2 linked regions of the Styela clava genome follow. The protein of the gene in region 1 purifies or fractionates together with the protein of each later gene. This does not show direct contact. Links are inferred from orthologs where the notes say so. Each region holds a gene or a part of one and is shown in the gene's direction. Other genes may lie near its edges.

Region 1 (16,444 bases):
AAAGATTTGACCCCTAATTTATTAATATGTTTGTCAAGTGTCAAATTTACAGCCTCAATATATATATACGGTAATTTATCTTTAAAATTTAGATTTATTTATGACTTGTATTAACCCGTTAAAAAAGGTTTAGCATTTAAATTAAGTAAAGTACTTTTAACTTACTCAGGAATATTAATCGGAAAGTAACAATTTTAAAATTTATTTTGGGGCTCCGTGAATAATAGTCAACCTCTTCACGGGCTCCGCAACACCAAAAGTTTGAGAACCCCTGGTCTAAAAGATAATACTGATAAAAGTAAACTACGCTGATATACAACCAGAAATTGAAAATGTAATGCACTACAGATAAATAATACAGTAATAACAACATGAAATTGAAACAAAAAAACAATATTTGTCACATTGCATTGTGACCATTGTGACGACCCTTGTTTTGCCTGTTAAATGACGTCATGTGATATCGTTTTGGTATTCTAGCAGTTTAGACGCTGCGACACGGTCGATCGGTTCTCGGGGGCAGCGTGGTCTGTTGGTGTATGCTGTGTGTGACAGAGTGGAGTCGTCTGAGTGTTTCGGTTAGATTGGTGGGTTTTGAATGTCTGTGTGAATGCGTCTGGTCTTCAGGGATGTTTGTCTGTGTTGTGTGACTGTCGGATGTTTTGTGCTGGACAGTGGGCTGACGTAGGGACCATGTTATTGATTTTACCAGTACAGTGCCATTACAGTTCATTTACCGTAGTGTTGTATTTTCAGTTTTATCGTGGAATTAGCTTTCATCAGTATTGTTCAAATGTTGTGCACCTATAGAATTGTTCATAGTCTTTTTAAATGCCTGTCATAAGTTACTTTCGGCCTGTTTTACAAATTGCAGTAGCTAGTTCATTGTACCAGATTCTAGGGGTCATTTGGTTTTTTATTCAGAGTTGTCTTGGATTTCAGGGTTGGTCAGTGTTTTTGTTGTGTATGTGGTCTTTCTTGCATTTTACTGCCTGGTATCTGTTATTTTTATTTTATGCTTTTCGTTCCTTTGGGGAGTGTTTGGTTGTTTTGGATCGTTTACTGTTCGAGTTGTCAATAAATGACATAAAATAGCATAAAGACTTGGACTATTGAGAGAAAACTTGACGTCAGATCATATTAGAAGATATTCTGAACTTGGATAATTATTTCATACATTGCCGGTACGCTACAATTTTTGGCGAGAGCACGCCAGGATATTTTCTATGAACTATGATTTTTTTTTCTATTACTTGGACTAATGGATGATATGTCAAGGCTCTGGTCAATAACGTGCCTGTTTTGTTTTTGATTGATACCGGTGCGGGTGTCTGGCTCATTGACACCGCTGTTTACTCGACGTTGCAGGAAGATTCGAACATTTCGGGGCTGCATCCTGTTCCAGTGCCACTCCGTACTGCCAGTTGCGAGTCATTTGTGTCTCACGGTGTACTTGATGTCAACCTGACGATTGAAAGCTGGTCTGTGGAGCATACAGTTGTGGTCGCCGATCCAGGGTCACGTGCGGGTGTCTCGCTCATAGACACCGCTGTTTACTTGACGTTGCGGAAAATTCGGTTCGGGTGTCTCGCTCATAGACACCGCTGTTTACTCGACGTTGCAGGAAATTCGGACATTTCAGAACTGTATTCTTTTCCAGTACCATTGCGTACTGCCAGTGGCGAGTCGTTAGTGTCTCATGGTGCACTTGATGTCAACCTGACGATTGAAAGCTGGCCTGTGGAGCATACCGTTGCCGTCGCCGATCTAGGGTCACGGATGGACTATCTTGGCAAATTCGTCGCATCGTTTTGTTCTTGAGGGACAGGATGTTAAGGTACAGCACCAAACAGCTTCTCCCTGCTGTCATGGGACTATAGTGAAGATGTGGTTATACCGGCCGCTCGGGAATGGTTGTTCTAGTTCAGCTACAACAGCCTTGGCCGTCCGGAGATCTAACATAGTAGCCATTGTTGAGCCAATGGAGATATGCAACATCAATTTGGTCGTTTCGATGACGTTGGTGGACTCAATCCCGAATGACAAACTTTACGGATGCTTAAGCGTGAGGGTAGACGGCCTGCATATTTTAAAGACATTTGTGGACATAATTTGGTTTTGACTACTGCTTTTCGTGTTTCAAATATTTTTTTTAGAGATGAAAACATTCTTTCATAATGTTCCATCTAGAAGAGGGGGGTAATGTGACGACCCTTGTTTTGCCTGTTAAATGACGTCATGTGATATCGTTTCCATATTTGGTATTCTAGCAGTTTAGACGCTGCGACACGGTCGATCGGTTCTCGGGGGCAGCGTGGTCTGTTGGTGTATGCTGTGTGTGACAGAGTGGAGTCGTCTGAGTGTTTCGGTTAGATTGGTGGGTTTTGAATGTCTGTGTGAATGCGTCTGGTCTTCAGGGATGTTTGTCTGTGTTGTGTGACTGTCGGATGTTTTGTGCTGGACAGTGGGCTGACGTAGGGACCATGTTATTGATTTTACCAGTACAGTGCCATTACAGTTCATTTACCGTAGTGTTGTATTTTCAGTTTTATCGTGGAATTAGCTTTCATCAGTATTGTTCAAATGTTGTGCACCTATAGAATTGTTCATAGTCTTTTTAAATGCCTGTCATAAGTTACTTTCGGCCTGTTTTACAAATTGCAGTAGCTAGTTCATTGTACCAGATTCTAGGGGTCATTTGGTTTTTTATTCAGAGTTGTCTTGGATTTCAGGGTTGGTCAGTGTTTTTGTTGTGTATGTGGTCTTTCTTGCATTTTACTGCCTGGTATCTGTTATTTTTATTTTATGCTTTTCGTTCCTTTGGGGAGTGTTTGGTTGTTTTGGATCGTTTACTGTTCGAGTTGTTAATAAATGACATAAAATAGCATAAAGACTTGGACTATTGAGAGAAAACTTGACGTCAGATCATATTAGAAGATATTCTGAACTTGGATAATTATTTCATACATTGCCGGTACGCTACACCATCAAATATAATAACTTTGAGGTTTGAAATGCGGCTCTGGGACTAAAAAAGTTTGAGAACCACTGGCCACTGATATAGACCATTACAGCAATACAGTAATAATACACAACCGTTAGCTTGTAAATCAGCAGTGCGGTACAAACTAGGACGGCTGAATAATCATATCGGTAATGTCATATGATTACCGTACCTATCTTTCCAACTACAGAACTAGGCCTACTTTACGATAATTGCCGTATATGATCTCTCATAAACAGCAGAATTTCATTAAATATCATTTGTACACGGAAATCACCAATAAAATCCATTATACCAACCTCGCATTTCTGCATTTATCGAGAAGGTTTAGTTGCCGTTCATCAATGTCAAAAAGTCGGAATTTATAGTCACTTTGCTACCATTGTGAAGCTAGTAGCGGGACTCGGAGTCGAAATTCTAAATTAATCGGAGGCGGAATTTCAGACATAATTATGATTTTATTTATTTTTTTTTTTGTTTTCTATCTTTTAAGTTTATAGCGTTTTTTTTACTTTATAATATCTCTGTGGTTGCGAGTGGTACATGTGAGTGTGTGTGAATTCATTTATTAATTTCAGGTTAGTGAACACGTACCTTTTCTTGGCTCGGCGGTGTGGCGCATTGTGCTAAGCGTTAGGAATACGCTCGCCACCGCATTTCTGATTACTCTTCGTGGGATCGCAGGTTCGAATCCCATGCGGGAATGATCATGTGCGAGAGGATTGCTGGATTCCTCGCCGCCGTAGGGTGGTTCACGTAACCGCTGGTCGGTTACGGCTTCCTCCACCATCAAGTCCATGCTTCCGAAAACAGAACGAGAGGCCGTGGTTCGTCATATGATTAAGCCGTCTTATCGACTTTCCTATCCCCCGGGATAAATATGTAAATCCTATCCTATCCTCCTTGGCAAAACTTTCCATCCTATATCTGTATGTTTTAAACCTAATCTGAGGTTTGGTTTGCTCTTCTGATTTCATGATCAATATTCATTTATTTGTTTTTCCGTAAATATATACCATTGTTGCTGTTATGCTGATTATGGCGTCGGATAAACTTATATTAAGACCGTCTTATCGGTTTCCTTCCCCCCGGGACAAATATGCAAATGTTAACTTATCCCAATACTCGTCATAATGAAGATAAAAGTTACGGAAAGTGTAAATATAGATAAGAATATTTTTTTTAACCTCAGTTATTATATAATGACCAGATCGTTGAAACACCTTCAAAAAAAAAATAATATTATTGTAATATTTTGCATTGGCGAGGTGAGGTCAAGGGTCGGGAAATAACCATTGTTGCAGCATGGCTATTAGCTGCAGTTAGTTGCGTAATCTTTTCATTGTATACTTATTCATTGTATGAAATCACCTAAATAACATCACAAAAATAAAATAAAATTTGGACCTCATGCAATAATATTGAAATATATATTTGATTATTTGGATATACCAAAACTATCATTTGTATAAATCCGATTTGGCAATGGATTTGAATTTGGCAAAAAAAAAAAGTTGGGACCTCATATGCTTATGTATGTATATGTCTGCTGACTGACGCATGTAGAATAGGGATATAACATACGGTAACTCGCGTAATTGAGTGGAGTAGGTAGGCTATTACATGTTTCAAGCGGACGAAACACTGCAACATGAAATATTCAATTACAGAATTGCTGAATTGTGAGTTATGATAAAGTTCTGAACTTATAGAATCTGAATGAGTGAATTGTTATCGAACAGTCTGACAGTCGAACTGAATGTTGAAGTGTAGAAGTGACAATTGGCGTAAGTTGGACAAAAAATGAGGATGGACACTTGTCACTCTCCCGTAAGCTAGCCGAGGGCCACACTTACTGAAATGCCTTGATAATACTTAAATATCTGAATATTGGGTCTCGTGTATTTTCGTACCTTTTTCGTAACGTACTTCTAGTGGGAGTAGCATAACAATTTTTTGATATGTCAATCCTAACCCCCATCTGACTACGCCATCCAAAAATTACGTCACTACGAGATCACAATCCCGTCATAGACTGAGCTTGCCAAATATACGTACAATCGCCCGAAATGGCATTGGCGCCGACGCTAAAGAACAGAAGAACTGACCGACGTTATCGATCTCTCTCTTATTGGAATCGTTGCGACGAGTTCATATAGTTTGAAGGGCTCTATTACTTTCAGACTTCACTGTGACGTGGTAATGATGTAATTTTTGGATGGTGTAGTCAGGTGGGGGTTAGGATTGATACGTGAAAAAATTGTCATGCTACGCCCACTAGAAGTATGTTAGGTAGGAACTACATGAGACCCTGAATATCAATGATATAGTGTTCTAAATAACTTATAGTTTAAATTCACTATAGAATCAACAATTATCAGTCAAATAATTCATCATAATTTTTTCTTTTCAAATTCCATAATGCTATCAATGCAAAAAGGCACCCCACTCAGTCGCCTATTACTCAAACAAAATGTTCTTCTCTAAATCATTGCTTGTTACAGTTTTAAGATTTTGATCAATTTATCACTTGCAGTAATATTGTATGTCTCTTTATTTCAATTGATATTATTGTTACCATTTTTTTTATTACTTGTGTCGGTACAATACTTCATGCACGATGGAAATAGAATATCTGAATATGAATCTGTCAAAGTAACATCTATATTTAATTTATTGCATGCATGTCCCATATCACTGTATCAGTTAGGCAGTACAGCAGTAAAGAACTAAAGAAATGTCTCCTACCAAATTTCATCTTATTTATTTTCATATATCTAAATATTCAGATATTGGGGATATTTTTGGAATCTGTGAATTTGCTATTCTGTTGTTCATCAGTTCTAGGTTTGTTATTTAGACTATAATTACAGGATTAACCTGTATTATGTTTCTAACATTCCTCACTCGGACTTGTTGCAATAAATCTCAATTATTACACAAATCAGTTACATGTTGTGGCATTATCAGACATGCTGTTCAATTGTCTACGTCTTCGATTATGAAAGGAGAGAAGATTCACCATAAAGATCTTTTTGATTATTTCAAGTTTGCTTATGGACGTTTAAATATAGAATCTAGCTCAAAGACAAAATGGCCACCTTCATTATTAGAGTTTTTTGGGAGCAATCCTAAGGTTGCGATTCATAAATTGGAAAATTTGAACAATGATATTGATAATCTGTACGGTGTTCATGATAATTTAAAAGAAGTTGAATCTTTTGTATCTGAAGCATTAACTGAAGCTAAATCTGATGAAAAAGATGATTTAATTAAAATTGCAGAAGATGAAAAAGAAGAACTTTTGAAAGAAATAGAGTCATGTAATGAAATAATTGTGTCGAAGCTTTTTGAAATAATGCACGGTGATAATCAAGTTTCCAACGCAGTTCTCGAAGTGTCAGCGGGCGTTGGGGGTCAAGAAGCCATGCTTTTTGCATCAGAATTACTCGAAATGTATCAATCTTTTTGTATAAGATTTGGACATGATTTTGAAATTTTAAATGTCGAGTATACTGATATTGGAGGATTGAAGAAGTCTTCAGCAAATATAAATTTTATAGATAGAAATATGTATCAATTGTTTAAGAATGAGATTGGTACCCATAGGGTACAACGTGTGCCAGAGACAGAAAAAGCTGGACGAATACACACCAGTACAGCATCCGTCGCTTTACTTCCAGTTTTTAGCAATCGAACTGAAACACTTGATGAAAAAGATGTGGAGGTTCAACGTTTTAAACGCTCTAATTCTTCAGGTGGTCAACACGCAAATAAAACTGAATCCGCAATTCGATTAAAACATATTAAAACTGGAAAGATTGTTGAATGTAATGCTACAAGATCTCAACATGATAATAAGGATCGTGCTATGCAAATGCTAGAAGCTATATTAGCATCAGAAAAACATAGTATGCAACAAAGTGCTCTCACTAAAGCTCGTCAACAGCAGGTCAAAAATCGGGAGCGTTCCGATAAAATTAGGACTTATAATTATCATCAAGATCGTGTGACTGATCATAGAATTGGCTTCACTACCCATGGAATTGCAAAGTTTCTTAATGGTGAAACAACTTTGCTTAATTTGATGGAAAAATTAAACAGTAAAACTCAATTGGAAGAATTAAATATTACAAGTAAAATTTTGCTTGATGAAGGACAATTGTTTTTTAATGACAAGAAAGTCAAATCAGCTGTTTCAAAGTAACTATGATCTGATTATGATTGATAGGCTACCGGAAACGATAATTAGTTTTAAAAATGTTGTTGTTAACTTATATTATTATACAGGTACAATCAAATATTTTTTTTTAGTGAACTTGACTTGGCTGCAAATGAATCAGTGGCAGAACCTATTACCTACAGGTTATTACATTACCTAGTGAGTTGCTGATTGCAACTTGAGTTTGTTAAATTATCTACATATTTGACAGGCTACATTTGGCAGGCTACATTTGGTAGGCTACATATTTGGATTATACCTTTTATTAATTGGCTATAAATCTATATTTGGTATAAGAATGCTCTTTATATTGTTTCATGGTGTGAAAATGATGGCAGTTCTATCGAGAGATGTCACTGGGCAGTATTGCAGGCATTTTATTGCAGTATTTAAACTAAATGTGATAAATGTATTGACATTGACCATCCTATTAAAAAAATATTGTTTCTCAGTGTCTCTTTCCGATTGCTAAACATGGCTTTTATAGTCGAAAAGCGTGTTTTTTATAAACAACTGATTGTGAACTCTTGATAATTGAGCATGAAATTTAGCATCTTTTTTTGATATTTTTAAATGCCAATTTTTTGCTATTGTTCACATGTTCCAAGTTCTTTATTACGAATTAGTCAAATATTTATTAATGTCCATAATATTCTAAAATATATTTATGTTTTTTTCATATTTGACTTTTAGTCATAATTTTAAATTTACCTGTTTGAAAAGCCCAAAATGGCTGTGGCTCCTGCTTCAATCGAGGCTGAATTTGCCAGACGGTTAGCTGGAAACGATAAAAGATGTAGGGATAAAGCTCTGAAGAAATTAAGACAGTTTCTCAATCTCAGATCGGCAAAAACAGATGGTGGATTCACGAGGTGTGTATGTTTTTTGTCGTTACATTGTTTTTATCTCAGGCAGAGAATAATAAAAATTAATTCGGTGATGAACAACTTGGTATAATTTACTGTAGATAAAAAAGTTTGATTTTTTTTTCGGGGCTCACTATTCCTAATAATGATAGATTACAATCTATGTGTCTCAATATTACCTACAGTTAAATATTCTGTGATGTTGCAAGTTTTGCACAAATATGCTATGTATTGTTAAATCAGGATTGTAAATAAAATCCTATCCCTATCCATAGCCTTATTATTTTGGCATTGAAAGTTTGAATATTTCGACTCCACTCCTGATTGTTCTAAAAGGCTCTCCATCACCGTGGCTATATTTAACTGGGAGGTTTGAGGTCGTTTTGGCAAATTTAAAATTCCTAATTGTCCAGAGCCTTGTATTGAGTGAATAGGGAGTGATCGTCTAAAACAGAATTTCCCAAACTTTTTGGGCCGCGGAGTGGCGAGGACCCCTGTTTGTGAATCCTAGGTTCACGCCACTTCACGGACCCCCATCCTGAGCCTTATCAATTTCTCTGACTAACCAACGAGGAAAGATAACACAGTGTACAGTACTCTGCATGTATTTTGTCATCATATTGGTAAGAGCTGAAAATGCTGAAAGATTGATCAGACTCTTCATATCCTTGTGGACCCTGTGTGCAGTCATTACGAACCCTCAGGGATCCGCGGACCCCAGTTTGGGAACCCTGATCTGAAGAGTCATAGCCTACTCACTTTATGTTGAGTGGTGTAAAAAAATATTATATTAAACTATGGATATGCGATTTTATTTCATAGAATTGAGATGCTGAGTATCTGGAAAGGATTATTTTACTGCATGTGGATGTCTGATAAACCTCTTGTACAAGAAGATCTTGCAAATAAAATATCAGATCTTTTGCCAGGGTATGTCCATATTCAAATACTGTTAGTCTGTGATACTCCCTAAGTTTTCTTAATGATTTATTTTAATTATTCTTACACCATTTTACAGAAATTTTATTTTGTAATTTTTATAAAATTTCATGACATGTGTTACCTACATCCTGTCTTACGGTAAATGAGTTTGTTTTAAATTTTGTAACATATTTCATTCTGGTTTCAGGCTTTCCAATATAAAAACAGCGATGTTATTTTTTGATACATTTCTTGAAACCATGCAACGTGAATGGAAGGGAATAGATAGACTTCGGATGGATAAATTCTATCTGTTAGTTCGATGCGTCTTGCGAAAAGCTTTTGAGTTTTTAAAAACTCGAAGTTGGGATGCTGGAAACGTAGATTGGCTTCTAGCTATCCTGAAAAATGGACCGATTTGTCCAACAAAACCTGTATCTGGTATGCAGTACCACTTCAGTGACATATATCTGGAAGAATTATCAAAAATATGCAAAGACGAACTAGATTCTCAAATGGTAAGATTTAGTATTTTATTTGTTCAGTCAGGAAGTATGTTTGCCGTCGCATCGCTGATTATTCTGCGTGGGTTCACAGGTACAATCTTGTGGGGGATAATTATGTGCGAGAGGATTACTGAGCTCCTCGCCACCACCATAGGGTGATTCCCATAACAACTTAGTGTCTACGGCCTCCTCCACCATCAAGTCCATGCATCTGAAACAAATACCTGGCTAACTAATCCCATACCCGACATGGATCAATACATAATGCAAGGATTGAGTATACCACAAAATACAACGTCCTATGATAAATGCTTGCCAAATTTGGCATGTTGATGGGCGCTCCAGAAGTGTGTGTACCAATATGGAGGTAACTAATTTTGCTCCTCTATTTTACATCAAGTTGTGTAAAGGGACTTAACCCTATGGGCAGGGGGTATATTCACTTGGCTAACACAGACAGTTCATGAACTCGTAATAGAACTGAAATAGGGAAAATCTGAATAAAAGTATGACCTAACCCTAACCTGGTACCCTCGCTGTGGGAGTAACTGTTGATGCAACAAATGGAATAAACCTACATTGCTTTTTCAAATTTAGGTGTTGAGGTTTTTAGATCCATACTGTATCATTGTGGCAAGTGCAAAGAATTATGACATTGTCAATGCAGTTGCAACCAACGTCTTCCAGGTTTGTGATGTTGATTTTATGTTACATAATAGGATTCGGTGTAACATATTTATCATATGGGAGGGAAATGCATAGAAAAGCTTGATCATATTGTGAACTGCCTCTGCGTAATATCTCACTCTGAGAAATATCGGATGTGGTGCTCTTTTCTGAGCTAGACAAATTTTTAATGAATCAAACTGGGTCCACGGAACCCTGGCGGTCTGTGATGATTGCACAGGGGGTCCGCAACATCTATTCGATCTTCAATGATTGATTTCAATCAAAAAGCCATTGCATCTTTTTGGTTGAGCGTTGTGAACGAATATCCATTGCTGTCAAAAAAGGCAATTACAATTTGATTGTCTTTTGCAACGACCTACATGTTTGAGGCAGCATTTTCAGCTCTTACATATATGATGGCAAAATAATGAAACATTATTCTTCCTCGTTGATTAGACAAAGAAACTGATACGACATTGGATGGAGGTCCGTTAAAACTAAGATTCACAAATAGGGGTCTGCGGCCCAAAAAGTTTGGAAACCCTGTTCTATCTGACTAATTTTTCTTCATATTATTGACCTCTTTGTTATCTTATCTTTCTAGGAACTCATTGATAATTCTAAGCCCGCTCTTGAGTTGCTCGCAGAGGAAGAAGTTTCTATAAATGTTAAAGGTCATACTCAAACAGAAAGTTACGATTCGTCACCAATTACAGCATTGAATGTTGATTATTCCGGACTTGCTGATCGTTTATTTGAACTGGCAAGTCAAGATGGTGTGTTAGCAAGAAATAGAAAAAAGGTAATGCTTTTCGGTGTAGGATGTAGAGATTGCTATTCTTGCTACTATTTGCAGTGACATGCGAAGGAAAGATTCAACACCTTGGTTAACGTAACATGGTAAAAAAACAGAATATACAATAAAAACTACTTTTCGTGAGAAAGCGCATGTGAGAAAGCTGCATACCTGTACATATCTGGTGGGTTTGGTAATACAATAAGCAAGATGGCCCATTCGGGCTGAATTCACATCTAGCTGTGACTCCAAACTCTAAGTTTTAAGAAAGACTCCAGTTTGAAAAAAGTTCAAATTGTGGTAAATTTTGACATCTGGCCCGTCGACTAGAAAAGTTGCCAACCCCTGATCTAGAGTGGGGGCACTGTTGCGCTGATTTCAGGTTTGTTCACAACGTGAAAAAATCGGGATTAGTGCAACATCCCTCATCTCAAATCTTAGAAGTTTAAACCATCCCCGGCTTCCAACTTCAGGAAAACCATACTTTGGCCATAGGCCCTTTTTTATTGTCTGCTGGGAAGGCTTTTTCAATATCTGTTATGAAAGTTTAAAAGTACGATTTCAGCTCAATATTTGTGAAAGTTTTCCTAACTGAGCAGTGCACAATCTTTTACAGTATAGTGAATTGGTGGGGAAATGGTGTTTATTATAACAGGCATTCAAACTGTAACATGCAACACCATCACATTTGAACTTTCATTCAAATCGCAGTCAATTAATCAATGATTTATGTCCACATAGCTGAAGAGTGTTCTTAGTTGGCATGTACTTGATTTTTCAATATGATATGTTGGTTTATTTAGGTCTTTCGAATGGTAGAGAAGTTTCGAGAGCTTGCTCAAGGCCGCGTTCCGCTTAGCGATATTCCAGATGCAGAATATTCATCTGAAGATGAAGTTAAAATGTTGGAAGAAGACTTAGCTAATAAAATCATATCTGAGAGCGGGAAAGAAATGGAAGACAAACGAGAATATCGGAAAACAAAAAGGCGAAAACGAAAAAGACAAATCGAGGATGGTGTAAATAGTGATGATGATTTAATGGTCCCAACGGTAAGCTGTGTGCATTAGGGCTATGGATGCTCATACAGGAGTCTTTATTTGTATTATGTATGGAGTTATGCCAATGGTACAAAATGCGGCACTCCAGAAGTGCGTGTACCAATAATCAATATGGGGGAACTAATTTTGTTCGCCTACTTTGCATCAAGTTGTGTAAAGGGACTGAAACTAAAATGAGGAAAATCTGAATAAAATTATGGCCTAACCCTAACCTGGTACACACACTACGGGAGTACCCAGTATGCATGGCATGCCTGCTAGAGGTATTTGACTTCGGAAAGCAACACAATTTTTTTTACATCTTTCTTATTTTGAAAAAGTCTTTTCAAGTAGAGAAAACATGTTTGAAAATATTTTGTAATTAATTATAGCTTTATAAAGAAACTATTTTCAAATAATAATTGAAATTTTTCGGTTTCACAGGCTATAGATGTAAAGGAAGATATTGATGCCAACACCAGTGAAAGTCTTGAAGATTTTGTGGATTCATCTGAAAATGTTGATACCAATAATAATCAATCATCTATAAATGGTACGGTAACTGTGGATAACTAGAAATTTATCAATATATTTTACAAAAATCAATACTGTACTTCTTGAAATGGATGTTTACACTGAGCATCAGGAGAATGTCTAATCATCAGTAACTTAACACTTATCGTACGTAATAATTACAATTTCCAAGGATATTTATAAACATTATTTATTCTTTTTTTGCTGCTAAAAATGATAATATTTAAATATAAATATTTTGTGTGGGTAAAGTACAGGATGAATTTTAGTGTGGTCAAACGTCAGGGAAACTTACATTGAGGCACTATTTGCAGTTAATATTAAGTTATCTAGATATCTGCCACCCATAGAAAAGCTTTTTTTTATCTCTTCTGTTGACTTTTGTGCAAACCATGATATATGACAGTAATCAAATTTTTCCTGCTACTCTTTAAAAATGATTTGAGCCAAATTTATAGACATTTTCAATTGCAATTTGACTGGTTAAAAATACAAATGGGAAAGTGATTTTCCCTGTGGTTTGAACTGCAAGTTCTGTGTTTTACATTAGCATCTGTGAGATATTTACTTTATCTAATATTTACTGATAATTATTATCAGGTTTAATGCATGAGTAAGTGCCATCTTGTGAAGTATCAGTTCCATTTTCATAGTGATCCCATGCGGGGATGGTTATGTGCGAGAGGATTGCTGGACTCTTTTCCGCCGAACGGTGGTTCATGTAACCGCTGGTCGGTTACGGCCTCCTCCACCATCAGGTTCATGCTTCGAAAACAAATGGCTAACTAATCCCATACCGACATGGAATAGTAAGCGGACGAGAGGCCGTGGTTCGCCATATGGTTAAGTCGTCTTATCAGCTTTCCTATCTCCGGGGATAAATATGTAAATCCTATCCACATATACTCTGCTCCGCGTTTTTTTGTAGAGCTACCGTAATTCCCTACTGACTCACCTACTTTATTTAAATCCTCCTTATTTCAGTCAATTCTACCAAGAAAAAGAAGAAGAAAAAAAAGATTGAACAAAAAACAATCATCATTGGTTCAAATCTTGGGAAAGAAAGTAGCAGCAGCACTTCTGAGCAAGACGTCAATAGTACAGTATCAGAACTTCTTCCAAAAAAGAAAAAGGACAAGAAAAAGGCAAAGATGCTAACTGAAGCGAAAGAAATTTCCAAAACTGAGCCCCAACCTTCCGAAAACATCCCAGATATATTACAAGATATTCAAGAATGTAAACAAGCTTTAGTGAAAAAGTTGAAGCGCAAAGACAAATTGAAATCCAAAAAACAGTTAAAGGTGTGGTTGGATTCTGCAACTCACAATTCACAAGATCAAGAATCCGTAAATGATAGCGTAAAACAGGATAATCCGACTATCGTATGCTCAACAGATGTAGATGGTCATGCCACTAAAGATAACCTTGAATCGTTAAGTAACAATGTTCAAAAACCAAGTACTGCCAAATCTGACAATCATGAAAAACCAGCGTTAAGGAAGCGCAAAAAAAAGAGGAAAAGCTTATTCAAGCCAGAAGTCGTGAATGAAACTGATCCCAATCTATCAACTAACAGCAATGAAATTAGTAATGAAAATGATATCATTGCGAAAAGTCCATCAGTAACAAATTCGAAAAAGAAAAAGCAGAAAAGTGAAGCTCTGGAAGAAGCACCTGAAAGTGACATAAATACATCGGAAACAAAAGTGCCGAAAAAGAAAAATAAGTCCAATGATGCTATTACTGAAGGAGAAAAATTTGCACAAATATCAAATACCAACTCTGTGCCTGCGATATCAACCTTCTTTAAAGTTGCAGCGTCAAAAGTCGATAAGGCGAAGAAAAACAAACACAATGTTGCAGTAAAGAGGAAAATACAGGAACCAGTTGCAGCACATTCACCAAAGAGAGTAGTTTTCGAAATGTCTAAAACACAGGTATGTTACTCATACAGAAAATATGTTTTCATGTGTGTGAGTACCCAAGCGCTCACTTTGTTTTATATTTGGATATTTAGATTGATGTAGCTACACCCACTTTATCTCGAAAATGTCGTGTCACCCTCGTCCCACTTTGCCCTGCCCTGGACAAGTGGGACACAACATTTTTGATACACACCCATAATAGGACTTTCTGTTGCAATGAAGTGCAACCTTGCCGTAAAAGTAAATCATTTGATTGTCTATTTATAAGTTTGTGTTAGTTGCAATTTCTGTGATTGCATATTCATTCTTACTTTTTAATTTATTTCAGATTCAACCATTTAGAAAGTTTGACAAGTCTACTGCTGTTAGCACATCACCTGGTAATGTTGCTTTTGATCCCAGGAAAACTCCAGATTTTGGATTGTTGAAAAAAGGAAGGAATCAAAAAAGAAAAAGTGCTGCTGATTTCTTTTAGTGACTAATAAATACAAGCCTTTCCCCTATTTTTGTATGCTCAGTGTTTGTAATTTAGGCTACATTTTTGCTATAGCGGCGGGATAATAAAGCAGATGTTGAAGTTGGGTGGCATGAAAAAAGGAATATGAATAGAGCTTTCGCCTGCGCACACGCAACAACATGTCACCTCTACAGGAAATGAATCTGATTATTCGAATCTGCAGGGCCATTTGCTTTGCCTGTCATCAAATGCGCTTAGTTTAGAAAAATGTCCAATAGCGGTGCAGCAACAGTCTTCTACACCTAATAAGTTAATTTAGACTCCAAATTCAGCATAATTGTCAACAATAAAACTAGAATTCGGTTGGAAACCGAAGACTTATCGATCGGAGGTTAGGGGATCCACCAAAACAGTGGTCTTACTCCATAGTGACACCGTGTGTACCATCACTAATTAATTATTAACTCGCTAATTATACAACATAATCCATCCAAAATCAATGGGCTTCTGTTCCGAACTATGATGAATGCACATGCAAGATTTGGAGCAGATTCAACCTCGCTTTCGTGAGATATCGCGTGTATCTAACAGACAAATACCTATCAACATACTTAACATCGATAAGTAATAATGAAACCGGACTACAGACTCGAGAGAGCAAACAAAGCCCTGAGTAAGGTTTAAAACGTGGTACGTGACGGTTTGAGTTGCTATAAGTCACACAATCTCTTTGGACCGTGCTGTAGCGAAATTGCGAGCTGAACAAGCTCAAACGACCTAATATCACATTTGTTAATATGAAACAGTCCTGGTGGTATATTTTGAGACCGGTGGTGGGATTTAGCGGGTTCGCTCGAATCCGTTTTCGAGATGCCGTGATCATCAGCGACTCGCTTTTATTTTCTTTCTAGAATCTGAACGACCGTCGCCTTGACTTACCTTTTTTATTTAGTAAATAAGATATTCAGTTTGATTTTATTCTATTTATCACGTTTTTGTTACACCAGCCTGTCTAATTATATACTGTAATGGCTTTGGTTAGACTTTCCCAAAGGTGCCGCCGCTCGATAACCAGTATTGGTTTTAGGCGTCTTCCTTCACACTGGAACGCGACTTTTTTTATGTTTCTTTTAATTTGTATATGTATAGTTCGAATTTTTAGCATGGTGAAGAAATAAATTACTGATTACTGAAAATGGATAACGTGCACCGCAGCTGGCGACTAGCGATACATTTGGCGCTTCGGCAGTTGCAAGATTAATCTGATAAAAGCGTGTCATGATCATGTAGCTTATATAGTGACATACATACATTTTCTGAAACTATGAAACCAGTTGTTAGTGAGTTCGATGCAAAATAGAATGTGTACTGCATTTCGTGTGAGGAATCATACGAATGTAACACCAGTTCAAGTGTAATATAAAAATCATAATTTAATAGCAATACGGTCCCCCATTGCAATGCTGACTTTTATTTCCATATTTCTCTATCTGAAGCAGTACTT
Region 2 (16,848 bases), on another chromosome or scaffold:
TGGTAAAGTATAGGAAGAATTTTTCGGGGGTCAAAGGTTGGGGAAAGGTCCATTATGTTCAAACAATTTATGCTCAACAAAGTGAAAACACCTTGTGAAATAGAAGAACGAGGAGTTTTTCTGTAAAGGGAAATGTGGAATCAGTTAGGCGCCTGGCATTGGGGCCCCCTCCAACCACTCTGAGAACCCCCCTTGATAGGCTACGGGTCCCCGGTTGGGAACCGCTGTCATACCGATTTACTCGGAGACAGACGACATAACTGCCGCTCCATTTCTTGGGCATTGGACATTCAAATAGTTAAGAGTTATGCGCAAATCGTACTCCTGTTTTTGCACAGTTTAAGTCTTATAGTAATAATATAAATATATTTTCTGCATCTGTTATACTTTACGACGGCTATCTAGTAGTCTAAAGCAGGGGTGTGCAAGCTTTTTTATTGGCCAAATACAAGTAACTGGGTGAAGCCGCGGGCCGCACCTTTATTTAATTTAGGCTTTCTGGTAGTTGCAAGCACAAAAATTGCTTATATTTGCTATTGATCTTACGGCATTATTAGGGTTTCTTGCAGAAATAGTAGATTTAAAGCGCATAAACTTCTGAAGAAACTGCTATTTAAATTTTTTGTCACACCGACTTCAAACGAATGCAGTGAGAAACACGTTTTTGTAATATAAATCGTGTATTTTGCCACAGAATTTTGCTAGTTTGTTTTGCTAATATGACTGGTATGGGCTTTGCGACGATAAAGAATAAATACTCGTTTTGCGGGTACACCATTCGAAATTGTTATTTCTCCGCGGGCCGCACAACTTCTTCTTGCGGGCCGCATTCGGCTCGCGGGCCGCAGTTTGCACACCCCTGGTCTAAAGCGAAGCTGTCGTTAATTGTAGAATACGTTTGACCGTTATCTGCAAGTTAGACGCCTGACAATCAATTATTTTGATTGGTAGAATTACAAATTCCATTATGATAAAACAATTTATGCACAGGAAGGCGAAAACACCCGGTTACATACCGCACATGGTGCCCAAAATCGGCGAGGACACGAAAAGTTCGCTACCACAAGGTACAATATATCGCTTAGACTGGGTTTTATTCATACGTACAGCGCATAGGGCTACAAGGCGCAACTTTTAAAGCAATGTCGGTTTCAAGTGTAGGCGATGAAGCACTACCTGATTCATACATTTTCTTGCAAGGTTAGCATTGTTACAGGAACAAGAGAGCTACGCCCAAATATATGGACACGTCTGTTCGCAGTACAGTACGGTTCACCGTACCGTCGATCACAGTCTACAAATATATTCACACCAAGCGAAGCAGTACAGTAGGACACAAAACGGCGTCCGATGTCCGCAGAACGTTTAATGACGTCATAGCAAACAAAAACAAATCTCACAGAGCTAACAGAAATATTTAAAATGAATAAAAGTAATAGCCTTCTGGGGGAAAATTTTATCTTCAACAACTGAAAATTTCAAAGCAATTGGTGCAGTATTCGAAGAGAAAAGCGTTTTTTTAATATTTCCACTATGTGTGTTATTCTGTGTTAAACAACAAGAACAACATAATATTGAAACGATCGTTATGTCCACTACGTGTCCAATAAACAAGGAAATCGATGTTCGGAAAAATACGTAGTATTTTCAGGCAGCCCAGCAGAATAAAACAAACCCAGACAAGGAACATGCTCATAATATGAATATATTTCACTTCGATATGAAACTTCAAGAAATTGTGAAAATTCTATATACTACAAAAGTGCCGACTTATGCTTCATGCTATTTGCATTTTGTTTAAAAGGCTTCTTCCATATGCTCTTCTTAAGGAAGACTTATTGTCTTGGCCAAATAAGTTTTGTGTGTGTAACTGCATATTGTAGCCAACGTACAAATACAACAAAGTGACAAATAGCATCATCGGTACCTGTCTGTTTATTTTAAGGGGAGGGCTTATATTAAAATCATTTTTTCAAAAGTCAGGCTAAGTCTTATTTTCGAGGAAACACGGTAGGTACCGCCTGTTTAAATGAAATTATTCTGGCCAGTCACGCCTCATTTCTTATTCTAAAATTATTAAACACACGATAATAATAAATGACTTTCCTACAAAAGTTATAAAAAAGTGTAATTTTATCATTTATTAAATTACTGCCATGTAAACTGCAAAAAGTAAAATAATAAATGTCTTCACGATATAATTTGTCATAATGCAGTGGTTCCCAACCTCGCGGCCCCTGCTGGAGGCTTTTAGCACTCGTGGTCCCACTGTTTGTCATTCCAGTAGTATTTATAGTGTTATTTGATTGGTAGATTCCGAATCCCGTTATGTTCAAACAATTCATGCTCAACAAAAAAAAAACATCCTGTGAAATAACCTTGTCAAGCAATGAAATTAGGAAGAACAGGGGAGTTAACTCGTAAAGGAAAAATCAGTTTTGCGCCTAGCATTGTGGCCCTCCTTCAACCACTTTGTGGCCCCTTTGATGGGCCACGGGACCCCGGTTGGGAATTGCTGTCACAAGAAGATTGTTGATATTGAAAAATCCATTATTCCTAATACATTTCAAAATAATATGTTCAAATATATTCTAATTTGTGTTCAACAGAAGAAATTTGCAAAAGTCCAAATCTATGAAACTTTGTGGAGATTTGAATTTTGTTAAAGCAGCGGAATTTTATTTTTGTGTCGATTGTCGTAAGCTAAGCAACAAATAATAAATTTTGCTCGAAAATCTTGTGAATGTTCCAATAGGATAAAATTCAATGATCCCTAATGGATATTTCATAAAAACAACACCTATGTATGTTCGAAATCATTATTTCCAGATGGAAAAAGGAAGACCTAAATATAAATACTTAAAACTAGGGTATGGTGGCTCTAGTATAGTAGATACTAAAGTTCAACAGAGGAATTTGCATTTTAAGATGTTCATAGAGTTCCACTTGCAAAAGCAGCACAGTTGAGGTTAGCAATGGATTATCAGACATCAAATTTTACTTGGAAACTTTGAAAGTTCGAAAATGAAATTCAATGAACTCTAATGGATGAATATTTCATAAGTACATCGCCAGTATGTTAGAAACCATTACTCTTGATAGAAAACAAAGACACAGAATACCAACTTCTCCTCCCCAACAGTGTATGGTGACCCTAGCGTCGTAAATATCACATATTAAAGTCAATATAATGTTTAACAGAATTAATAATACAAATAAAAGTAATCTCAGGTAGACCTAGCTATTTATTGAGAACCCAGTAAATTAAAACAGCTTTGCCAATAGTATGATTAGCCAATTTGAATTATCTTGTTTGTAGGGAATATACTCCGAGCATGGGGATGTGCACTCACTCAGAAATAAAGAAGACTTCATGAACAAAAATTTTTCTAAATGAATTTGACCATTTTTACCCAAAAAATTCAATGAAATTTCACAAAACGCAACTCAAAATATTATAATTCCTTTGCGAAAGTGAAGTTAACCTATTCAAGCAGCAATTTTGAATACAATATTTTTTTGATGAACCTATCCCCCCCCCCCCTCTGTGCTTTGGTGTCCCTCTGGTTTTATTCCAACCAATTTGAAATATAAAAAAACAAACAAGTAATAATAAGCAGCATTTTGAAATACAATTTTTTTTATTAGCCTACCCCCCCCCCCCCCAATCCCCCCATGTTTCAACTGCAACCAATGTAAAATATTCGAAATTAAAAGAAGCATTTTTAGTAGAAATTTTTTTTCATTAGCCAGCCCCCCAATTCCCCCCCCCCTCTGTGTTTTGATTTTAAGTGCGGACTTTCCTATTGTCTGAGAACATGCTCCTAACTGTGTAAACTTGCAGAGAAAGAACAACTAACATCACGATGATGTTCAACGCGGACCAGAAGTTAACGCGCTCAAAATTTCGCTCAGCGATTCCTCGATCTTTGGCCTCAAACGCTCGTAATAAGCCTTGAAGTTGAGACGTCTTTCCGAGGTTCGATCGGATCACATTCATGGTGTCCTGGAAAAAGAGAAATTTGAATTAAAATGATTTACAGGCATATTATAACTAGGGGTACTACTGAAGTATGCGTACCAAGACAGCGGATACCGGAATGTAGTATGTGTACCATGTTAGGATGAGGCCATAATTCTATTCCTATATTCCTTACTTTAATTCTATTACAAAATCGGGACTAGCCAAGTGACTTCCGTAGTATTTGTACCAGAAATTATGGCTTAACCCTAACCTGGTACACATACTACGTTCCAGTGTCCGCCAGTCTCAAACAAAAAACTACAAATTATGTATGTTCCAATCACAGACATGCATAATGACATGACGAATTTACCGATGCTACCTCCAAAGATTGGAGCTTGTCGCCGTATTGTTCATCTGGTTCGACAGCGTCTTTCCAGCCCCCATCCTCTTCTTCTTCCTCCCCGGCAGAATCTTCAATGATCTCGAAAAATACGGTTTTCCCCGTCATACGACTGAATGAGTTGTCGAAACAGACAACGTAGTCGCCTTCAACTGTCGGGTCCACACTGAAAAAAAAATGAAAACATTTTGATAGGAACTTTTCATGATAACAAATCTTATCAAATGCACAAGGGTTTCTCCATGTTTTTGGAGTTCTACAGAAAAGGTTGGAAACCACTGTCCAGTGGCCTTTTCAGGAATAATAGTCATTTCATATCAGTACAGAGCCTTGTTTCCAAAAGAAAAACCTACGCTAACAAATATGGAATTGATAAGGATGTCTGTATCAGTTATACTCAAATGTAGTTATATCCGGCACAGTAAAATTTTTTGTTATGAATACCTTTCACACTTTAATCTGTACAAACATGCACCGACTATGGGTACTCCCGTAGTATGTGAACCAAGATGGCGGATACCAAAACGTAGCATGTGTACCAGGTTAGGGTTAGGCAATAATTTCAGGTACAAATACTACAGGAGTCACTTGGCTAGTCTCCGAACTCGCAATAGAGCTGAAATATGGAATAAAATTATGGCCTAACCTGGTACACATACTACGTATTGGTGTCTTCTGTCATCTTGGTTCGCACACTACAGCAGTACCCCCAACTATATGTGGAGCTAAAGGATATTATCTTTCCCGTTCAGCATTTAAGCAATAATTTCAAACATACCATTTCAAAATTTATGAAGATCCTTATTCAATGGAACTTACGTGTGTATCCCGTCCGTCTTTCTCATATCGCTGACAACAACCCGGCCATCCGGTGCTTGAATCATAAAGTTGATGTCGAGATCTCCCCCGTCTATGACCTGGAAAGAAAACAAAATTGCTCAAATAACGAATTTCACTCCAATTGGGGCTTTAGAAAGCGACCACTGAGATAAAAGAAATAATAAACCATCAGTAGCTAAAACATGATTGTAAAGATTGCTATCTTTGCGATTTAACTTTATATAACTATTTCATTGCACTTGTAGGGTCTAGTATAGTTTAGTACCACAAGTACTTCCAGTGGGCGCAGCATAACGAATTATATTATTCCTAACATGACTATATCATCCAAAAATTCGGCACTACGATGTCACAATCACGTCATATAGCTTGCCAATGTATAGCTACGATCGCCCGAAACAGCATCTACGCCGACCGTAACAAACTCTCAAACACAGGCTGTCTCTCTCATATCGGGACCGTTGCGACGAGAAAAATAGCTTGCTCGATTTCGGGTGATCGTAGGCGCGTTTCAGACGACCATTTGTACACTTTGGAGGTCTTGAATATGCCACTGTGACGTAATAGTGACATAATTTTTTGGTAAAGTAGTCAGGTGGGGGTTGGAATGACATATGAAAAAATTGTCGAGCCAGGCCGATTAGAAGTAGGCTATATGTGGTACTAAACTATACCAGACCCCACTAGTATTTTTCAACACTTTTGTTGGAGTGGGATCTGAATGAAACATTTAGGAAGCTCGATTGATTCCTGTGCAGTAGCTCATCGAATAAAAGCATCATTCAATCATCATTATTTGAGTGAGTTGTCAGATAAGCGAAATTCGATTTGTTGACTGTTTTTTGCTAAGAACATCCAATTTTTTTTTTTTCTGCAAATTAAATTATTTTCTTCTGAAATCCTATAATGCCGTTTTTAGATTACGATTCTTTGGTTACTGCGCAGCTTCATTTTATTCTGTACTGATATCGCACTACTAAGACATGCTATCTGCTGATCTGGGAAAGAATCAGCATTTATCCTCTTTAAAATTCGACAATATTGCTCAATTCTGCAATTTGTTAAACGTTGCATACTCCGATACTGTTGTTCCCCAACATCAAGAAAAATATCTGTAACTAGTTAACCATTACAACGAGAATATCGGTCAGAGACCGAAGACTTATCAATCGAAAGTTAGGGGATCCCCCAAAACAGCGCTCTTACTCCATAGTGACACCTTGTGTCCCATCACTAATTAATTATTAACTCGCTAATTATACAACATAATTCATCCAAAATCAATAGGCTCCTAGTACGACATATGATGAATGCACATGCAAAATCTGGAGCAGATTCAATCTCGCTTTCATGAGATACCGGTATCGCTTGCATCTAACAGACAAACAAATACCTATCAACATACTTACCGATTAAATTCGATAAGTAATAATGATTAACACTGTTTTCGGCTTTCACCTCCCAGGATAAATACAAAAATAACATCCTATTGCTATCAACAAACCTGAAATTCAATGTCCATTGCACGTCCTGCTTTGGTTGTTTCATAAAAGCATTCTCGTTTCATCGGCGAAATTTGAACGGTAAAGTCGACATCCCGGTACCCGAATGATCCTGCTACAATTACAGACAAATAGAAAACCAATTTGATAAACATTTTGTCTATTTCGTCTCAACTTCAAACAGAAAAAACTCCAATCTATGCTGAACGCCGGCGTACGGGAAGCAAACGACACGAAATGCGGAAATGAGAGCGTAGGGTCAGGGGTTAAAGTTGAATTCTAGTCGTGGCAACCGCCTCGATACCCTTTTTCAAGATCTTCAAATTATCGTATATTTCTTGCGCTGTATTTTAATTTAAGATCTGGTATTACTTTTATGAATGTAATATGTTTATCTTGTGGACAAGATCTGCCACAAATCCCCTTCAAAAAATTTTATTGATTAGGGATCTCAAAACTGGGGGTCCCGACCACGCATCAATTCCCGCCATACCGGTGGGTCGCGAAATGACATAATGGTGGTCGCGGTAAAGAGATTTCAACACCAACTATATTAAAACAAAATATCGATTCAATGTGAAAGATTGATACGTATATTCGTCAAAATTTGATCTTTTGTGTGAGAATATGCGAGCATCGATCATATTGAATGTATCGTCAATTTTATTTTTATTTTTCAATGGTTTCTGTTTTATCAAATTTTAATTTTAGTACCTAAGGTCACAAAAAAAATTGGCCGTGCGAAGTGAGTCATTTGGAAAAAAAGTTTGAAAGAACATGGGTATGGATAAAGTGGACGTTTCGGATGTGTACGCTCGTGCGATAGGTATTATTTTAATTTTTTATCTACGAAATGAAACCATGGCTCGTTTTATTATTTTTCTGTTGTTATTATTAATTTTCTTGTTACTTTATGAAAAAATCGCTTTTCTCATTCACTAATGGACCTTGACTTTGAAATTATCATTATTACGATATAATAAGTTATACTTATACGATATTTTTCAGTTGTTTATTATTGCTATAATCCTATTTTACACGATTACAGGATTAGGATCAATTGGAGATTGAATAAATGAAATGCTCTTTATGTATATTGAGGTAGAAATAAAGAGCACGATATCGGAATTCAACGGAAAAGGTTGGGAACCACTGGACCATACAAATCCAATCAACGAAAGCAAGAAAAACCAGACTCCGTACACCACCGATAGAATCGCACGTTTGTCGCGAGTTGCTTTGTTGATTAGAATTCGTGTTTTCTAGTTTCTTTCCAGCAGATATCAGCAGAAAATCATCATGACTACGCTTCCTATGAACCCGAAACCATTCATAAATTCATTGACTGGAAAACCTGTCATCGTGAAACTGAAATGGGGAATGGAATATAAAGGATATCTCGTGTCTGTGGACGGGTAAGAACTGATTTATTTAGTTAACAGGATAAATCGGGCCTTGCCAAATAAAAGCTCAGATTTTATTTTACCCTGGAAGATAGGGAAACCGTTAGGACAGATAATCCTGTAATAATTGATGCGATGGCAAGCGTATCCATGGCTTTCAAAATGATGCATCAAACATAGCCGTTTCTTCACAACTTTTACCTTAAAAAATTAAAGTATGGCACAGTTCTACGATTCCAAGAATAACCTCCAACATTTAAAGACATCATTTAAAATAGTGACTGCAAACCTCTGGCACCTCTATATCACCACAAACTGGAATTACGCAATAAATTAAATGGAAGTGGAATCTAAAAAAATTGGAATCCACAGAAAAAAGCGCGGCGATGTGGCTCAACGGGTTAAGCGTTAGGAATACGGTCGCCACCACACTTCTAATTACTCTGCGTGGGTTCGCAGGTTCGAATCCCATGCAGAGATGGTTATGTGCGAGAGGATTGCTGGACTCCTCGCCGTCATTGGGTGGATCACGTAACCGCTGGTCGGTTACGGCTTCCTCCACCACCAAGTCCATGCTTCCGAAAACAAACAATATATCTAATCCCATACCCAACTTGGAATGGTAACCGGACGAGAGGCCGTGGCTCGCCATATGGATAAGCCGTCTTATCGGCTTTCCTCTCCCCCGGGATAAATATGTAAATCCTATCCTAATTTAATTTACCAAAGAAAAAAAAATTAGTTTAACATAGAATTCAAGAGTTTGTCGTCACGATTGGTTTATACTATTATCGCAACGAACATGAAACAATCTTACGCAACTGGCATTGTACGAGATGCCCTTATTTCAGAGACAAAGCGGGTATTTGTTTTATTGAACCAAATCTTGGAATCGTAGAACTTTGTTTCACTGCAATGTGCCAGTCGCTGAGCTGAGTGGTAGCAGTTTGTCATATGATTTTGTTGTCTCATCAAAATTCCTCTTTGAGATAAATATAAAAATGTCATATCTCAGTTGAAAACTTCAAATAATTTTTAAGTCTGGTTCCCCCTTTTCATGTAACAACTAACTGATTGTGGCTGGATTTCAGCCAATTTGACCGTTTTTTTTCTCCTGGATAAATCTTATCTCAAGTTAAAACTTTAAACAATATTCCAGGTATATGAACATGCAACTGGCAAACACAGAAGAATATGTTGACGGGGCTTTATCAGGACATCTCGGAGAAATATTGATTCGTTGTAATAACGTACTTTACATCCGGGGAGTAGAAGAAGATGATGAAGAAGGAGAAATGAAAGAATAATCCTCCCCGGGAATTCCTTTCTATACTGAAGACTTCCAAACCTAGATACAACACTTTTTTTTTTTTCGAAAAGAATCATTAAATTTTGAGCTTTTGGGACTTAGTTGAATGTCCGAATGTTTTATCTAATCATAAACTTCTCTGCCATTATGGCTTTTCTCGAGATCATTCATCCTCACGCCTTAGATTTTGTTCCAGAGTGAGAATTGATACCTTTTAACTTAATAAGTATGCCTAATGCTTTCAGAAATCTGCAGCATTAAGCTTGGACTTTTTATATTTTTCCCACTGGTTTGGTGATCGCATCTACGATGGTTTTTACATGGGTCATTATATCGAATTTCAATAATGGAAACATTGTCATATGTGTTATGTGAGCTGTTAAAAATGCTTAGTAAAATTGCTTTCGTCTTTTAAATTTTGTTTTTGACTTTTTGACTTGTTCTGATTTAAAGCATTTGACCTTATTACGACAATATATTTGAAAATGTGCTTAGGAATTCTTATTGGCCACCCTTGGTTTAAATTCATTTTCTAAACTAATTTCAACAGATTTTGCAAATTCACTCATTTTAAAATGTATTATGAATTGCAGATTATTCTTTTTGACCACCCTTGGTACAAATATCATTTCCTAAATTAATTCCCACAGGTTTTTTGAATTCACTGAATATAGATTGATTTTTATGTGTTCCTTGTTCAACATCATAATTCAGAATGTAATTGGTAAAGAATACTATTGGGTTTTGACCATTCATCAGTTTGTAACATTCTCTAACTAATCTAAATTATTAGATATCATTTCTTTTTTCCTGTCTAAAGCTCTGATGAGAGTAGAAATGTTCAACGGGGAGGAAATTCCTAAAATTCTTGTTTTTGGGACCAAAATCATAATGTATCTGGTATGACAGATTAAAAAAAGTTGATTTTTTTGGCAACCCCTGGGTTTAAGTAAGCCTTTGTTAAATAAAGCGTTTTCACCCAGTTGTTTGTATTTGGCGCTCTTTTTAAAGGTTGCACATCCCTGGTTTAAATAATATTTTTAAACTAATTCATTGACTTATTTGTGTTTTGGGCTGAGAATTCTGGCAACCCAGAAATTTTATTTTAAAATGTATTTGGAATAATAGTTTATTCATTTCATCATTTTTGCGTTTATTCTGTCCAACTTTTTTTCTAACTTTTAGACTTTAAATAATATTTTAGAAAATGGTTTTCTATACCTGCAGTGGCTGTGGAGAATCTTTAAAAAAAAACAAAGTCGAAAAACATGTTTATACTTGCCGCGGATGCGAATATTTAACCTGCATTGATTGTAGTTGTGATTTTTACGGCGACGATTACAAAAACCACACTTCGTGCATCACCGAAGATCAAAAATATTCTGCTAAAGGTACGGAATTTAAACCAAATAAAGGTGACGTTAAGCAACAAAAATGGCTTGATAATATTGACTCGATTCTGTCGGATTCTAACTCAAATTTGAGCTCAAAAGCGAAACAACTTATTGAAAATCTAAAAAACTACGATAATATTCCAAGAAAACGCCCAAAATTCCTCAATTTTTTGAAAAATAGTTTGAGAATGTATGATTCGAAACTTGGGGAGGAAATTTGGTCGGCTTTTTCTGCAGCAAACGGAAAAAATGATGTCAAAAATTGTAAAGGGGAGTCAAATGGGGATTCCCGGGAAGAAGAGGGTGTTAAAATAAAGGAAGTTGAAAAAACTGCTGAATCAGCAAAAAATGATTCCGAAATTGTCAATAAAAAAGATAAAAAAAAGAAAAAACTGAAATTGGATGAAAACGTTTCAAATAATCTTGAAAAAGATGAAATTTCAGCAGAAAAACCCAAGAAAAAAAAGACTTTGAAACATAAAAGAGAATTGAAAGACAAAAATGAGAGTTCAGTGAATATCTCGTTAAATGAAGACAATGAAAATGCTGGAAAAGAATGCGAAAACTCTCGTAAAATAAAGAAGAGAAAACTGGACACCACTGAAAATTCTGGAAAATCTAAGAAAAAGAAGAAAGATATAAGGAATTGTAAAGAAAACAATAAAATAGGAAAAACTGAAATTCAGAAAACCGATGAAAATAGTGGGAAGGATGAAATTATAATGAAAAGTGCTGATAATTTGGTGCTAAATCACGAAGAAAATGCTGCTATACTGAAGAAAAAAAAGAAGAAATCTAAAAAAGGCAGAAACGGACTCAAAAATGCTGATAATGGGATTACTGATGAAAGTTTGATAAAAATTGACAATTCGGAATTAAAAAATGTGGGAGTTGACTCGAAAATAAAGAAAAAACACAAAAAGAAAAAAATTAAAACCGAAGTTGATTGAGAAATATTTCTTTCTGCTCCTCCCTGCTTATTACCCACCAGCTATTTGCTCCGAGCAAAGCAATGGACAAGGCGAGTTCTCCGTACTTAGGGGCAAATTTTGAAAACAATATTGATTAAAAATTTTACATAGACATAATTGGTTTTTAGACTGGAAATCAACCATGGTTTGATCAGCAATATTTACCGAACTATTTTAAATAAAAGTTGAAAAAAAGTTGATGTTTTTTTCATATATTCTCAAAACAGTTATTTTCAATTTTTGGCTTCTTGGATTAAAGGCTTTGTATTGCTTATTGTGCTGGATCCAGTAATATTTCCTCTTTGAGTAGAGCTCTAAAGAAGAAGAAAAAATGATATATAATTCAGACTAGAGAATATTACCAATTACTAATTTTTTAAATAAACTTACCGGTACTAATAAATGGCCAAAACCTTATGATCCACTGTACTGAATTATAGGGCCATGTTTAAACAAAGAACACATAGAAGCCCATGTATCTACTGTTTCAAATGCCTTGAGGTAGAATTTACATATTTATCTTTTTTTTTGGGGGGGGGGGGGTGGTAAGGCAGCTTATTTGTGTGGGAAACCACGCCTCTCGTCCAGTTATCAGTCTATGTCGGGTATGGGATAACTTGACCAGGTATATGCTTCAGATTCATGGACTTGATGGTGGAAGAAACCGTAACTGACCGGCGGCGAGAAGTCTAGGACTTCTTTCGCAAATAATTAACATTTTATGTTGACAATATACTCAAAACGAAGGTGATGCTATTTAATGCGATATCTGTACTTGTTCACCATTAACTGTTCCCAATTTGGAGATATGGCGGAAAGTGATACACGTAGCGTGTATCTTACATCCAGCCTACTTCAATATTTTGTTTTTGTAGTTGTCAATATTAAAAACTTGGCCTCACATAAATACGATGTCGGAAAAGGTAACAAAAACTATCAATGTCTGTAAAGCTCCTGTAGCTATGGCTGGGTATTGATTGATGTTTGTTTAGCCATAACAAATTTTATTACAAAATATGCTACCGTAAAAGCGCCTAACTTCGGACAGTCCCTAACTTCGGACAAAATTTTTGAACGGCCATATCTTGGCTAAAACGCGCCGTATATTGCTAATTTTAATTATTATAGGTTGTGCTGTTATATCTACATCTATTCTCATCTTTTTTAATGTTGCATAATTATTTTTTTGGTAAAAAAACGGAAATTTTGCCGAAAATTGACTGCCCGGCATTCAACGGCGCAGAGCGTCGCTCCTACTGAAGCTATCGTCGTCAAAATACCATCATTCGGTAGAGGGCGACAACAATGTATATAATTTATTTGAGTGATCGCAAGATGTCGTACGAGATTTAAATAAAATCTAAAATTCTGAATTATAAATTCCGTAAGAATATTAAGATTTCACGCAGCGTCAAAAATTACGTCAACCTCACGTAGATTATTTTTCGCTCACCTACGAAACGACGTCACACTGCGTCGCGGAAATGAATTTTGACGCCAGACACAACGGAGCCAATATGACAATTTCCGTTAAGATAAAGACGGCGTTCCAACGTAATATTTTTGTATTTTGTTCGGTCATGTATGAATATATGCCAAAATTACATTAATGAAAATACATGTCACACTTAATCGATGACGTTAAAAATCGAATATATAAAACTATGATAATTCCAACGTCCATATGGCACAGTGCACTGCACTTAACCATTATTTTATGATTAGTAGTCGAAATGACAGTTATTGAATACGGCCTGGGTGAATTTTATTCAATCGAAATTAAAAATAAATTTAATCTCCAACAAATAAACGGGACCTACATGTTTACAAGATTAAGTTGAATTTTAAATTAAACTTTACAATCGGATTTACCGTGTGTTTGATATAAATTATCATTTATAAAGATAACCGCGCAGAATAAAAAAAAGCTATCTGTCGAGAATATTAATACTTCAAAGACTTCGATAGAAGCCCGTTAAAATACTTCATTGTGGATTGAAACGGTTTGTATCAGATATATTTACGTATGCATTTCCTGATTAAAATGACTAACGTGTTATTATACTCATCTGAAGTATCGAAAATAACGAACGAAAGATGTAAACATAGGACCACGGAAGTTTCAAATAATGCATTTTCGTCGTGACGTCAATGTTACGTTACGACGACGATCGAGCGTCTTATCTTCACGCAACGACGTGATTACCTCATCCGCATCGGAAGCCTCTTTCTCTCTGTGCGTCGCGGTTACGCAGTGAAGAAAATGACTGTCCGAAGTTAGGGCAGTGAAGGATAACGGTCAAATGGCAAGAAATATCGATTATTTCAATAGTAAAAATAGTCCAATTGAACCGAAATTTGCAGGGAATGTAAATTACCGCACGAATGTTTTACCGAGCGCCGTTTTGGCGCCGTTTGGACAATAAATGGCCGAGTTATTGACGAAAATATAGTAATTTTGTCCGAAGTTAGGCGCTTTTACGGTACCCTTGTGATTATAGAATTAACACTGACTAGGTATGACCATATATATATTATATACACAAAATTCGATAAGATAACTCATTCATGGATTCTATGTCAACCCATTCGTATAGTTCGCCCTTATTTGTTTCAGATGCCCTTAATTGTGAATAAAGCCGTAGCCGACTTTAGATCCGTATTTAGCCGTTGCCCAAGGATGCTTGAACTAGATACAGCGATAAGTAAGAATAACATAATCTCTTTTAACGATTGTACACCGTGCTAAGCGTTAGGAATACTCTCGCCACCGCACAAGTGGTTCCTAACCATTGTTCAAGCGACCCGAATTTTTTGAAAAATAAATTTAGAGAAATCTCGTAACCCAAGGATATGCTCAAATACCAGACGGTATGTAATGCTTATACCTTAAATCAGGGGTTCCCAAACTTTATTGCTCACGGGCCAAAATCAGAACGGGAAGCATGTTTGCGGGCCAGAAGAGTGTAGCGCCCGTAAGTGTACGACGGTTTAGCTGGGGCTCAGTGGATTCACTTTCATTTGACATTTTTTTAAAACTTGTTTGTTTGACTCATAATTGCGCTTGATGTTGTATTCCTTCAGAACTGGAATAGTTCGTTGGCAAAGAAGACAAATCGCTAAAGTTTGATTTGACATCTCTAAGATTTCTTAAATGGCTCATAACTAAATTACTCCCTATGTAATCCTAATACCGGTACGTATAATTGAAATGCCGGTGTAATTGAATTGTGACGATAAACACGTGCTTAAACTGTGATAATGACATAACAATTATCGGTATCTAGATCGCAAAAAGTAGAAACAAATTCTGTTGAACACTATTTCACTTAAGCTCGGCGGATCATTTTAAATCGTCACGCGGGCCGGATTTGACCCGCGGTTTGGGAACCCGTCTTAAATGGCTCGGCGGTGTGGCGCATCGTGCTAAGCGTTAGGAACATGCTCGCCACCGCATCTCTGATTACCTTTCGTGGGATCGCAGGTTCGAATCCCATGCGGGGATGATTATGTGCGAGAGGATTGCTGGACTCCTCGCCGCCGTAGGGTGGTTCACGTAACCTCTGGTCGGTTACGGTTTCTTCCACCATCAAGTCCATGCTTCCGAAAACAAACTGGACTGGTAACCGGACGAGAGGCCGTGGTTCGCCATAAGATTAAGCCGTCTTATCGGCTTTCCTCTCTCTTAGGTTAAATATGTAAATCCTATCCTATCCTATGGGGTTACAAAATTACCTGACTGACTAATAACAGCGAATGCCAAGTTTCTACGCTGGGACACTTCACACATACACGATTACTATTGAGCAAGACTTCAATACTAAATAAACGGTACTCTCGAAGTATGTGAACCAAGATGGCGGACAACGGAATGTAGTATGTGTACCAGGTTGGGTGTATGCCATAATTTTAAGTACAAATACTACGGGAGTCGATTGGCTATTCACCGAACTCGTAATAGAACTAAAATTGGAATACAATTATGGCCTAACCTGGTACACATACTACGTTCCGTTGTCCGCCATATTGGTTCACGTACTTTGGAAGTACCGAATAAACAATAAATTTACTAGGAAATAAAAGCAGTGATTTTAAGGGTTTTGTTGAATAAACAAACGACCTTCGAAATTTCTGGGTCGTGACCTATGGGTGGAGAAACTCTGGTCTATCCTCTTCAGACGAAACCAGGTATGAATGAATCAAACAGTCAAATTATCGCGTCTAAAGCAATTTAGAATTATTGCCCGATTTTAAGAGAGCCAATTAAACAGCGGATGGACTCAAAGTACAGCGGTCACTTTTGTTTGTTTAGGGCGGTCGTGTCAAGGTTTACGTTTATCGATTCGCAGGTTAATTAAAAGACAGTAATTTGACTTTAAAAATATGGGACCTATTTAGAGGAGAAGATAGCGGTGGGAAAGGTTATATTGATTCAGTCATTTGAATGGAGCCTTCTGTAGAGAGCGATTAGGCTGCCGTATAGACCAGGGTGGTCCAAACCCAGGCCCGCGGGCCACATGTGTATGTTACAGTATGTTATTGATGAATATGTGATCTCAATCGCTATCAGGGGCATAGCCAAGAAGGGGAGGTTTTATAATTGTCAAGTCAGAACGTATCAGGTGGCGGGTCAAACCTGGAAACGTGGTTTTCAAAGAGTTTTAAATGAGTTTCAATATACGAAAAATGAATCCTCCGCAGCCTATTGGACTGCCATAGACAGCAGGTTAGGGATAGATATATGGTCCCAAACGCCAATTTGAATTTGGCTTAGATGTTTTGTATTAGATTTATGCAAAGCATGTCATGTTGATGTAGCTGAAGCAACGACATACATTAGTAAAAAAAGACGTAGAGCCATCCCTGTTGTTAGTTCGATACATAAGTGAACTGCACATAAAAACTACTGTATTTTTCTATCTTTGAAGGATGTTCAGGTAGTGATAGAAGCAACTCGCACTCTTTCGGACTATGCGCAGTTCGAATATTTCATAATGTTTCGCCTTCTAGTGAAAATACAATCTTCAGCTACTGAAAATTTCGAAGCAATTGGTCTAGTCTA

What was found.
Region 2: the proteins of uncharacterized protein LOC120329709 (region 1) and uncharacterized protein LOC120344534 purify together in Homo sapiens (co-immunoprecipitation; 3 studies listed by IntAct, with this or other methods). This does not show direct contact. The link is inferred for Styela clava from reciprocal best matches to the Homo sapiens genes RRP1B and LYAR.

Annotation. Positions count from the first base shown.
Region 1 is NC_135261.1:8,612,335-8,628,778, reverse strand, and holds uncharacterized protein LOC120329709, read left to right. Parts: upstream 1-7,895; 5' UTR 7,896-7,955; coding exon 7,956-8,098; intron 8,099-8,914; coding exon 8,915-9,022; intron 9,023-9,221; coding exon 9,222-9,531; intron 9,532-10,116; coding exon 10,117-10,206; intron 10,207-10,792; coding exon 10,793-10,990; intron 10,991-11,787; coding exon 11,788-12,036; intron 12,037-12,468; coding exon 12,469-12,577; intron 12,578-13,542; coding exon 13,543-14,495; intron 14,496-14,811; coding exon 14,812-14,958; 3' UTR 14,959-14,986; downstream 14,987-16,444. Other genes in the region: peptide chain release factor 1-like, read left to right, coding at 5,892-7,211. UniProt on the Homo sapiens protein: Positively regulates DNA damage-induced apoptosis by acting as a transcriptional coactivator of proapoptotic target genes of the transcriptional activator E2F1.
Region 2 is NC_135254.1:1,073,414-1,090,261, reverse strand, and holds uncharacterized protein LOC120344534, read left to right. Parts: upstream 1-9,931; 5' UTR 9,932-10,628; coding exon 10,629-11,765; 3' UTR 11,766-12,300; downstream 12,301-16,848. Other genes in the region: transmembrane emp24 domain-containing protein 5-like, read right to left, coding at 3,788-4,006, 4,338-4,533, 5,187-5,284, 6,712-6,864; small nuclear ribonucleoprotein F-like, read left to right, coding at 8,009-8,124, 9,272-9,419. UniProt on the Homo sapiens protein: Plays a role in the maintenance of the appropriate processing of 47S/45S pre-rRNA to 32S/30S pre-rRNAs and their subsequent processing to produce 18S and 28S rRNAs. Also acts at the level of transcription regulation.